2 linked regions of the Drosophila melanogaster genome follow. The protein of the gene in region 2 interacts with the protein of the main gene of each other region in a pairwise test. Each region holds a gene or a part of one and is shown on either strand. Other genes may lie near its edges. The genes, in order: ND-42 and sicily.

Region 1 (4,169 bases), on a different chromosome or scaffold from region 2:
TTTACCTGTACACCATGGCGTATGTGTACTCGCCAGATGGACGGTTCGCCCAGGCGGAGCTGGCTGTCACCAAGGATAATCCGGCTATTTCCATGATCGACGATTCCGACGAGGATGTTGTCTACGGTTCCGACGAGGAGTCACGGCGACCGCTCACCTCTGTGGGCGGCGGTGCTGGAAAGAACGATTACGACAGCGATTGATCGGCGATTAAGAAGTATCCGCGGCAGAACGAATACCCAAATGTTCCATAGCGCAATTGAAGTTTTAGTGCTAAATGTGTACAAAGTATTCCCTAATATAATGCATAAATTAACTTAAAATTTCAAAAAATTAATCTCTGGTTGATCAATGAAACTGGAGAGGATCGAAATATGTTTGGGTATTCATGATTAAGCTGAATTCGAAATTTATGTTAAAAAAAAAGTATAAATAAACCCAATAGTTCGAGTTTTGTTGTATGAAAAGTATTTACAATCGATATTTACCATATTCGCTTTTTAACTAATTGGGTTCTGATTATTTTACTAGACTGTTTATTAGATAATTAACACATTTCGCCAGGTGATTTCAACTCGAAAGCATAGCAAAAACCCTCTAGATGCCCTGGTTGATGCCTATTTTCGTCTTGGTGAGGAGACCCTCGTCGCCCATGTCTGCATTGTAGCCAGGACGGTACTTCATGCCGGGAGCCTGTGTGCAAAGGGGCAGAATTAATGTGAAAAGAAATCGAACAGGGAAATGGAAACACCGAACTTACATTGAACCAGACATCACGCCAGACTTTGCCGTCGTCAGCGCTGCGCACCAGCTCCGGGACATCGAAACGCGGCACATTGAAGTAATTCATCAGATCGGGCTTCTCATGGCAGTACTTGATACGGGCTTCGCACCACTCGGCCTCCAGCGGGAAACGCCAGTCGAGCATCTTCTTGTTGTGAATATCGGCCTCAAACTGGTTGAAGTCGATGCGTTCGATATCCTCCACCACAACCTCAGTCTCACCGCCGGCTGTCCAGTCGTAGATGAGCAGCTCGGCATGGGTGGAGATGTCCTTGAGGTACTGCTGCTTGTACAGCTGCTCCAAATCGCTCAAGTAGGCATCGCTGAACACCTTTGACTGCACCTCGTAGTCCACATTGCGTGCCTTGATCTGCTTCTTCACGGCATCGACCGGCAGATCCAAGTAGATAACCAAATGCGGCTTCAGCAGCTCCCCGATGGTGTTCTGTCGGAGCTCATTATACACGGAACGCGCACCGCGTGACAGATAACCCTGCCGAAACATGGCCTCCATGAAGACAAAGTCCGAGTAGGGGCTGCGCTCGAGGACAACACCCTGGCCGGTGCTAAGGACGTGCTGCAGGGCATCAATGTACTGCGAATAGCGCAGCATGTACATGCGAATCTGGAACTGGGCAGCCAGATCGTGGCTGGGATCCAGGCAGAAGTTGCGCACATCGTAGCTTCGGCAGCTGGGCGGCAACTGAGGATCCAACTTCCTCATGTCATAGCCGTACGAATTGATGTAGATTAGGTCCAGATCAACTGCCGGATAGTACTCCATGTCCAGCTCCTCAGCCAGTTCCTTGGCGAACTTTGACTTGCCGGCCGCGATGGGTCCCTCCACACAGATCACCTTGGAGTTCTCGTCAAAACGCTTGGAGGTCTTGTCGAAAATAGCATTGAACACGCTGTACTTCTTCGTCTTGTACGGATAGGGGGCGGCCTTGGGCACCCGTGGTCCACCTCGCATCGTCTTGCCGGAGATGCTGCATCGCTGCTGGAAGGCAGCAGGCAGGGCATTCGTCTGCGCCTGGAGTAGATTGGGCGACTGTGTGGCGCGGCTGACGAGCCGCACCAGTCCTACGCGGAACACGGCGGTCATTCTGAAGGGAAAACAAGGGTCAGTACAAAAACGAAACAAGATAATAACAATTATATCTCGTCCAGTGGCAATTTGTCGTGTGGTTACATCACAGGAGCTACGCAGGTAGTGCGGTAATCTCTGCCCTAGAACTGCAGATATGCGGATCTTTTCGTTGCATTCTGCTGGCCAGCATTGCGGCGCTCCATAGATTTACCCAAATTGTCGGTTTTAATGCTCTATCCGGTGGTATTTACTCACTTTTCAATCTAAATATCGGAAGTCTACCCAAAAACAAATTTCGGGCTATGGTTGGTGTTGGAAAACTCCCCGAATAGGGCTGTCAAGGTATCCGTTCAAATATCAAAAATGTAAAATCAAAATGTTTGTCTATGCTTTAACTGCGACTTTTCTCAGAATCAGAAAGAATTTCATATGAAATGAAATTTAACCCAGTATTTTAAAAACTTTATATAACACTTACAAAATAACATTTTAATGTATAAATGTATTTGTTTTACTTTTTAAAAATATCGCAAAGCGACTGCTCAACACTACACAGCACAGCTGGGGTGTTTAACTACAAGTTAATTTACTTGAAATAAATTCAACAATGCTTTTCATTTGTAGACAGACACACACCATAAACTCACATTGCCGTGCGGTGCGAGTTGATTTTTTAAATTTTTAACTTAACATATTGTCACGGTGCAGAAACAACTGGTCCACTTTCCGTTGGTCTGGCAGCCCTGACCACAACCTCGCTGCATTTTGGGCTCAAAAGTTCTAACGATGAACTAACGAAAATATAAATCAAAATTTAAGGCGAAAGGCTCCAGGAGAAGATCGACAAATATCGAGAGTTGTGACCATTAGGATCGAGTAAGTCCTGGCGTTGGGGCCCAGCACTGGGAGTGTAACCCACTCCTTACAGTTACGCAACTGAGAACTAATGCGATTTTCCTCGTGACACAGATTTTGTTATTAACCAATCCCCAGCAGAAATGGGCAATACAGCCATCACCCGAGTGCAAATGGAGGCCACGAAGAGTGTGCCGGTGGACCACGCCAAGTACATGAGCGGCAGTGGTGCCCCGCCACCAGAATGCCCCATGCATCAGAAGCATGGAGATGCAAAATCGGCCTCCGCCGTACCCCCACATCCCAAGATGCAGGCCGCTTCCGAATGTCCGGTGCAGCACGACAACAGCGACGTTAATCCGCTGAATATGATGCCACCGGCAAACCAACAGCCGGCGGCAGATCAGCCCTTTCCACTGCCCACCGACCGCCAGACGTCGACCATTCCCAAAGTCACCGAGGATGGCAGCGTTCAATTCTGGCAGTATCCCAGCCAACAGATGTTCTGGAACGCCATGCTACGCAAGGGCTGGCGCTGGAAGACCGAGGACGTATCGCAAAAGGACATGGGCGACATCATACGCATCCACAATGCCAACAACGAGCAGGCCTGGCAGGAGGTACTTAAGTGGGAGGCGCTTCACGCCAAGGAATGCGGCAATCCGCGCCTCAAGAGTTTCGGTGGCAAGGCCAAGGACTTCAGTCCGCGCGCTCGATTCCGCAGCTGGCTGGGGTGAGTATACTCCAGACGGAAGATCTCACCTGAATTAATGTTCGAATTGTCTTACAGATACGAGCTGCCATTCGATAGGCATGACTGGATAGTCGATCGCTGCGGCAAGGATGTGCGCTACGTCATCGACTACTACGACGGTGGACTGGTGGACAAAGACTACCGCTTTGCCCTGCTGGATGTGCGCCCAGCCATGGACTCCGTGGACAACGTTTGGGACAGAATGCGCGTAGCTTACATGCGCTGGAAGTACGAGCTGTTTGAGAAGTTTGGCAGCGCGGATGGCGGCAAAGTGACCGCTGGTAGCGACTAGATGGAATGCATATTTAGATGATCGCTATAGGTACAAAATCGGCTTAAGTTATCGAATGGATGGAAGAGGGAGTTTGGTTAAATGCGTTTAAGACGCTGCGAAGCGAAACGATGTTGAGCCCTCTCTTTAAATAAATGTTGAATCTTGACTTCTGAACACCAAAATTCGAATGTGGTTTTGCTTTTTATTTTATTCTTTACTTAAATCCTTTTAAGGATTTCGAATTATCCAGTAACGAGTTGATAGCATTGTGGAGGAATATATTAATTAAAGTTTTTTTTTATTGATATACTTATGTATATGCAGAATTCTCATCTGTTCAAAATGCCTGTAAAAATTTTTTTTCTTAATCTTTAGTTTTATATTTTATTTATATGCTCTTTAAAATGATTGCG
Region 2 (4,684 bases):
TCTGGGTTTACAAAGTTCAATCCAGGAGTGCGAAGAAAGCGCGCCAAAAACTCACCATGCCAAAAGTACGCGTAAAGTAGGCGTTGCAATTTTTCCGGAACTAGCAACCGGAAGCCGGAAACGGGCCCAAAAACAAACGGTGCTTATCTTGTTGAGCGATCGTCGCACTGCTCCGTTCTCATTAATATCCAACACACACTTTCCACATCAATTCTAACATTCATAAAAAACTAAAACTGCGCCTGAAACGCTCTGAAATCAGCTAGCAACTACTGTACCAATCGGGTCTTGCATCGTATCCACCGATACCTTCGTCGGGACGAACCTTTGGTGCACCTGTCATCGATAGTAATTACGTCCCGATTCGAAGCGAGATAGCGATATTCCTGCAACCGTTCTTAACCCATTTCATCCAAAAGATCCCCGATCCGATTCATATTCGTATTCTTATAAACATTGGAAATCCTCTTCTATTGATTCGAGAAAAAGTAAGAGCTCTTATTTTAAAGTGATTTTTATTAAAGAAGTCAACAATGAAGAATTTATTTCGTACTACATACTAACATAATCGCTATCAGAACCGATTAAGCAGCGACTTCCAGAATAAACGTGCTGGCAGTAAGGTGTCGCGGCCTACGCAGCTCTTGTGGGTTAGCCTATAAGATGGGAAAATTATTATATTATTATGGGGATTGATAAAAAGAAGGGTCCGCTCCATGAATACTGAACAACCAACAAACTATAGCTAGGTTTTGAAATAAAGAAGTCTCAATAAAGGCAAATCGTACTTATAACTGGATAAAAATAACATCTTAACTACAAAAAGAAGCTGGTTCTCTCCTGTGTTTGTCGTAATATAAAACAAAGCAATATAAAACAAAGGAACTCACAGGAAGTTGGCACGGCGGAGGCGCTCCAAATATGCATCCGTGGCCACGGCGGAGAGGAAGATCTTGCGCACCTGCGGCGGCACCTTATCGTGCAGCTGCCTGGCGAGCTTTAGGTGCGTATTGGCGGCACTGGCCACATCGAATATACAGTCCTCGACACCCTTGTCGTCGCTCTTAGAGCGAATGATGCGCTCCTGGCTGACGCCATGCAGCACCAGCACCTCGAGCGGAATGCAGGGCGCCTGCTGACGTCCTGCCAGCGGTATCGATCGCAGCAGGGTGGCGATGCCTTGGGCCTTGCCCAAGTGGGAGGCGGCATGATCAGCATTTAGGTCACGCACTCCGCCCACCTCCAACAGCAGGAGCAATAGCGAAGAGAAGGTCTGTTCCGTGTACTCCTCCAGCTCGCGTATCGACTCAAATGCATGCGTGGGCGGACGTTCCCGTGCTGTGACCAGACGGCGCAAATATACCTTATTTAGCTTGCGACTGCCCACCGTGTGCTTCAGTTCGCGCAGGACAGGCTGGTCCTCCACGTACGATCTTTGGGAATCCGGCTCAAAGCACTTGTCTATGGAGTCGTGCCAGAACTTAAGGCGCATTTTGGCTATTTGCGGCTCAATTTGCTGCAAGGATATTTGTCATTATATAAACGATTTTACTGGACAGAAATAAGAAGTTTAAAAACTACGAAGTGTTGCTTATTCTACGAATTTCTCTATCCGTTTTAAAGGAAGGAGAGAAATTATACTCTTGCAGTGTACATAAGAAATTAAGAGATTTGTGAAACCGTTCGAAATGGTAATAATATTCATGAGATGCGGACATAAGCCACTTATGCTTACAATAATATTGATGCGGAGTAACAGAGTCTGAACGGAGTCTGAATTTAAGGCGCCACGTTATTCTAACTTAAAAAATAAGCCCCAAGGAATTTCGATGCTCCACTCACATGGCCGCTAACCGATCTGGAGACCTCCACATTGAATGCCCGTAGGGCGAAGGCAGCACGTCGCAGTTCCCGTGGTAGGAGCAAGGTGCACAGGTAGTTCTCGTAGTCGTATTTCCTGGTTATCCGGAATAGATCCATGTTCAATTATACGGATAACTTCAATCGACAAGTTTGCGCTACTTACTCCACTAGACTCATGCAATGTTTGGCCCCGTATCCATTCTTGTCCGCCTCAATCACTTTCTTTTCCCTGGGAATCGCATTGGTCTTGGCCTCCTGGTGAATTCCGGCATGGCTGACAATTTCTTGGCCGGATTTGGCGTTAAATAACAATCGGCAATTCCAATTTCGCACCAGGCGCCGCATCTGTGCTTCTTCTTTCCACCAGACAACTGAACATATGTTCTGAGCGGTGCTGCCAGATCGCACTCGGTCTGTCAGAAAGTTACTACATATGGGGTATTCGCGATTACGCGGAAATTTCATTTGGCGGAAGATTCAAAATGCTGTATGTGACTTGTTGGTAAATTTATAATGCATTATTATAGCTTAGCTTAGGTAGTTTACCATATAAAGCTTAGCTTAGGTATATAAATACATTATCTTCCGTAAATATTGCTTTTTTGCCATGCGTAATCTTCTTGACTTCTTTTCTTTTTGCTGTGAGGCCATTTTTAGACAAGTTATAGCCAAAAAAGCCAACTTGAAAATTGAGTTTTTTGCCAAAAGTAGTTTCCAGATTTTTTGTGAAAAAAATATTCGGTATTTTGATCAAAACATTGAAAATAATGACTCAAATATGGAATGTCATACCTCGTTGAGTTTGTTTTTTAAATCCCAATCGATTTGCATTCAAGTTTGGGAATTCTAGAATTTTTCATTTTTTTGCAAATTTTGATGATGGTACGTACCCCTTACAAAAAATGCGAAAATTTGTCCAAAAATTAATTTTACAAAATCAATTAAAAAGTTAAAGGGATGGTTAGTGTTGATCATAAGGAGTATAAAATGGTAATTCTTTTTGCTGTGAGTCCATTTTTAGTCAAGTTATAGCCACAAAAGCGAACTTAAACATTGAGTTTTTTGCCAAAAATAGTTTCCCAGTTTTCTGTGAAGAAAATAATCGGTATTTTGATCAAAACATTAAAAATAATGACTCAAATATGGAATGTCATACCTCGTTGAGTTTGTTTTTTAAATCCCAATCGATTTGCATTCAAGTTTGGGAATTCTAGGATTTTTCATTTTTTTGCAAATTTTGATGATGGTACCCCTTACAAAAAATGTGAAAATTTGGCCAAAAATTAATTTTACAAAATCCGTTTTAAAGTGATAGGGGTTGTTAGTATTGGTCATAAGGAGTATAAAATGGTAATTCTTTTTGCTCTGTGACCATTTTTAGACAAGTTATAGCCAAAAAAGCCAACTTGAAAATTGAGTTTTTTGCCAAAAGTAGTTTCCAGATTTTTTGTGAAAAAAATATTCGGTATTTTGATCAAAACATTGAAAATAATGACTCAAATATGGAATGTCATACCTCGTTGAGTTTGTTTTTTAAATCCCAATCGATTTGCATTCAAGTTTGGGAATTCTAGAATTTTTCATTTTTTTGCAAATTTTGATGATGGTACCCCTTACAAAAAATGCGAAAATTTGTCCAAAAATTAATTTTACAAAATCCGTTTTAAAGTGATAGGGGTTGTTAGTATTGGTCATAAGGAGTATAAAATGGTAATTATTTTTGCTCTGTGACCATTTTTAGACAAGTTATAGCCAAAAGAGCCAACTTGAAAATTGAGTTTTTTGCCAAAAGTAGTTCCCAGATTTTTTGTGAAAAAAATATTCGGTATTTTGATCAAAACATTGAAAATAATGACTCAAATATGGAATGTCATACCTCGTTGAGTTTGTTTTTTAAATCCCAATCGATTTGCATTCAAGTTTGGGAATTCTAGGATTTTTCATTTTTTTGCAAATTTTGATGATGTTACCCCTTACAAAAAATGTGAAAATTTGGCCAAAAATTAATTTTACAAAATCCGTTTTAAAGTGATAGGGGTTGTTAGTATTGGTCATAAGGAGTATAAAATGGTAATTCTTTTTGCTCTGTGACCATTTTTAGACAAGTTATAGCCAAAAAAGCCAACTTGAAAATTGAGTTTTTTGCCAAAAGTAGTTTCCAGATTTTTTGTGAAAAAAATATTCGGTATTTTGATCAAAACATTGAAAATAATGACTCAAATATGGAAAGTCATACCTCGTTGAGTTTGTTTTTTAAATCCCAATCGATTTGCATTCAAGTTTGGGAATTCTAGAATTTTTCATTTTTTTGCAAATTTTGATGATGGTACCCCTTACAAAAAATGCGAAAATTTGTCCAAAAATTAATTTTACAAAATCCGTTTTAAAGTGATAGGGGTTGTTAGTATTGGTCATAAGGAGTATAAAATGGTAATTATTTTTGCTCTGTGACCATTTTTAGACAAGTTATAGCCAAAAGAGCCAACTTGAAAATTGAGTTTTTTGCCAAAAGTAGTTCCCAGATTTTTTGTGAAAAAAATATTCGGTATTTTGATCAAAACATTGAAAATAATGACTCAAATATGGAATGTCATACCTCGTTGAGTTTGTTTTTTAAATCCCAATCGATTTGCATTCAAGTTTGGGAATTCTAGGATTTTTCATTTTTTTGCAAATTTTGATGATGTTACCCCTTACAAAAAATGTGAAAATTTGGCCAAAAATTAATTTTACAAAATCCGTTTTAAAGTGATAGGGGTTGTTAGTATTGGTCATAAGGAGTATAAAATGGTAATTCTTTTTGCTCTGTGACCATTTTTAG

What was found.
Region 1: the proteins of sicily (region 2) and ND-42 interact in a two-hybrid assay, tested with the Drosophila melanogaster proteins (one study listed by BioGRID).

Annotation. Positions count from the first base shown.
Region 1 is NT_033777.3:22,025,740-22,029,908, reverse strand, and holds ND-42 (NADH dehydrogenase (ubiquinone) 42 kDa subunit), read right to left. Parts: upstream 2,201-4,169; 5' UTR 1,889-2,200; coding exon 761-1,888; intron 694-760; coding exon 598-693; 3' UTR 516-597; downstream 1-515. Other genes in the region: CG13409 (uncharacterized protein), read left to right, coding at 1-203; Cchl (cytochrome c heme lyase), read left to right, coding at 2,872-3,461, 3,519-3,774. UniProt on the Drosophila melanogaster protein: Accessory subunit of the mitochondrial membrane respiratory chain NADH dehydrogenase (Complex I), that is believed not to be involved in catalysis. Complex I functions in the transfer of electrons from NADH to the respiratory chain.
Region 2 is NC_004354.4:11,889,562-11,894,245, reverse strand, and holds sicily (severe impairment of CI with lengthened youth), read right to left. Parts: upstream 2,515-4,684; 5' UTR 2,209-2,514; coding exon 2,027-2,208; intron 1,958-2,026; coding exon 1,843-1,957; intron 1,517-1,842; coding exon 891-1,516; intron 657-890; coding exon 575-656; 3' UTR 501-574; downstream 1-500. UniProt on the Drosophila melanogaster protein: Involved in the assembly of mitochondrial NADH:ubiquinone oxidoreductase complex (Complex I) at early stages. Interacts with cytosolic Hsp90 to chaperone the Complex I subunit ND-42 in the cytoplasm.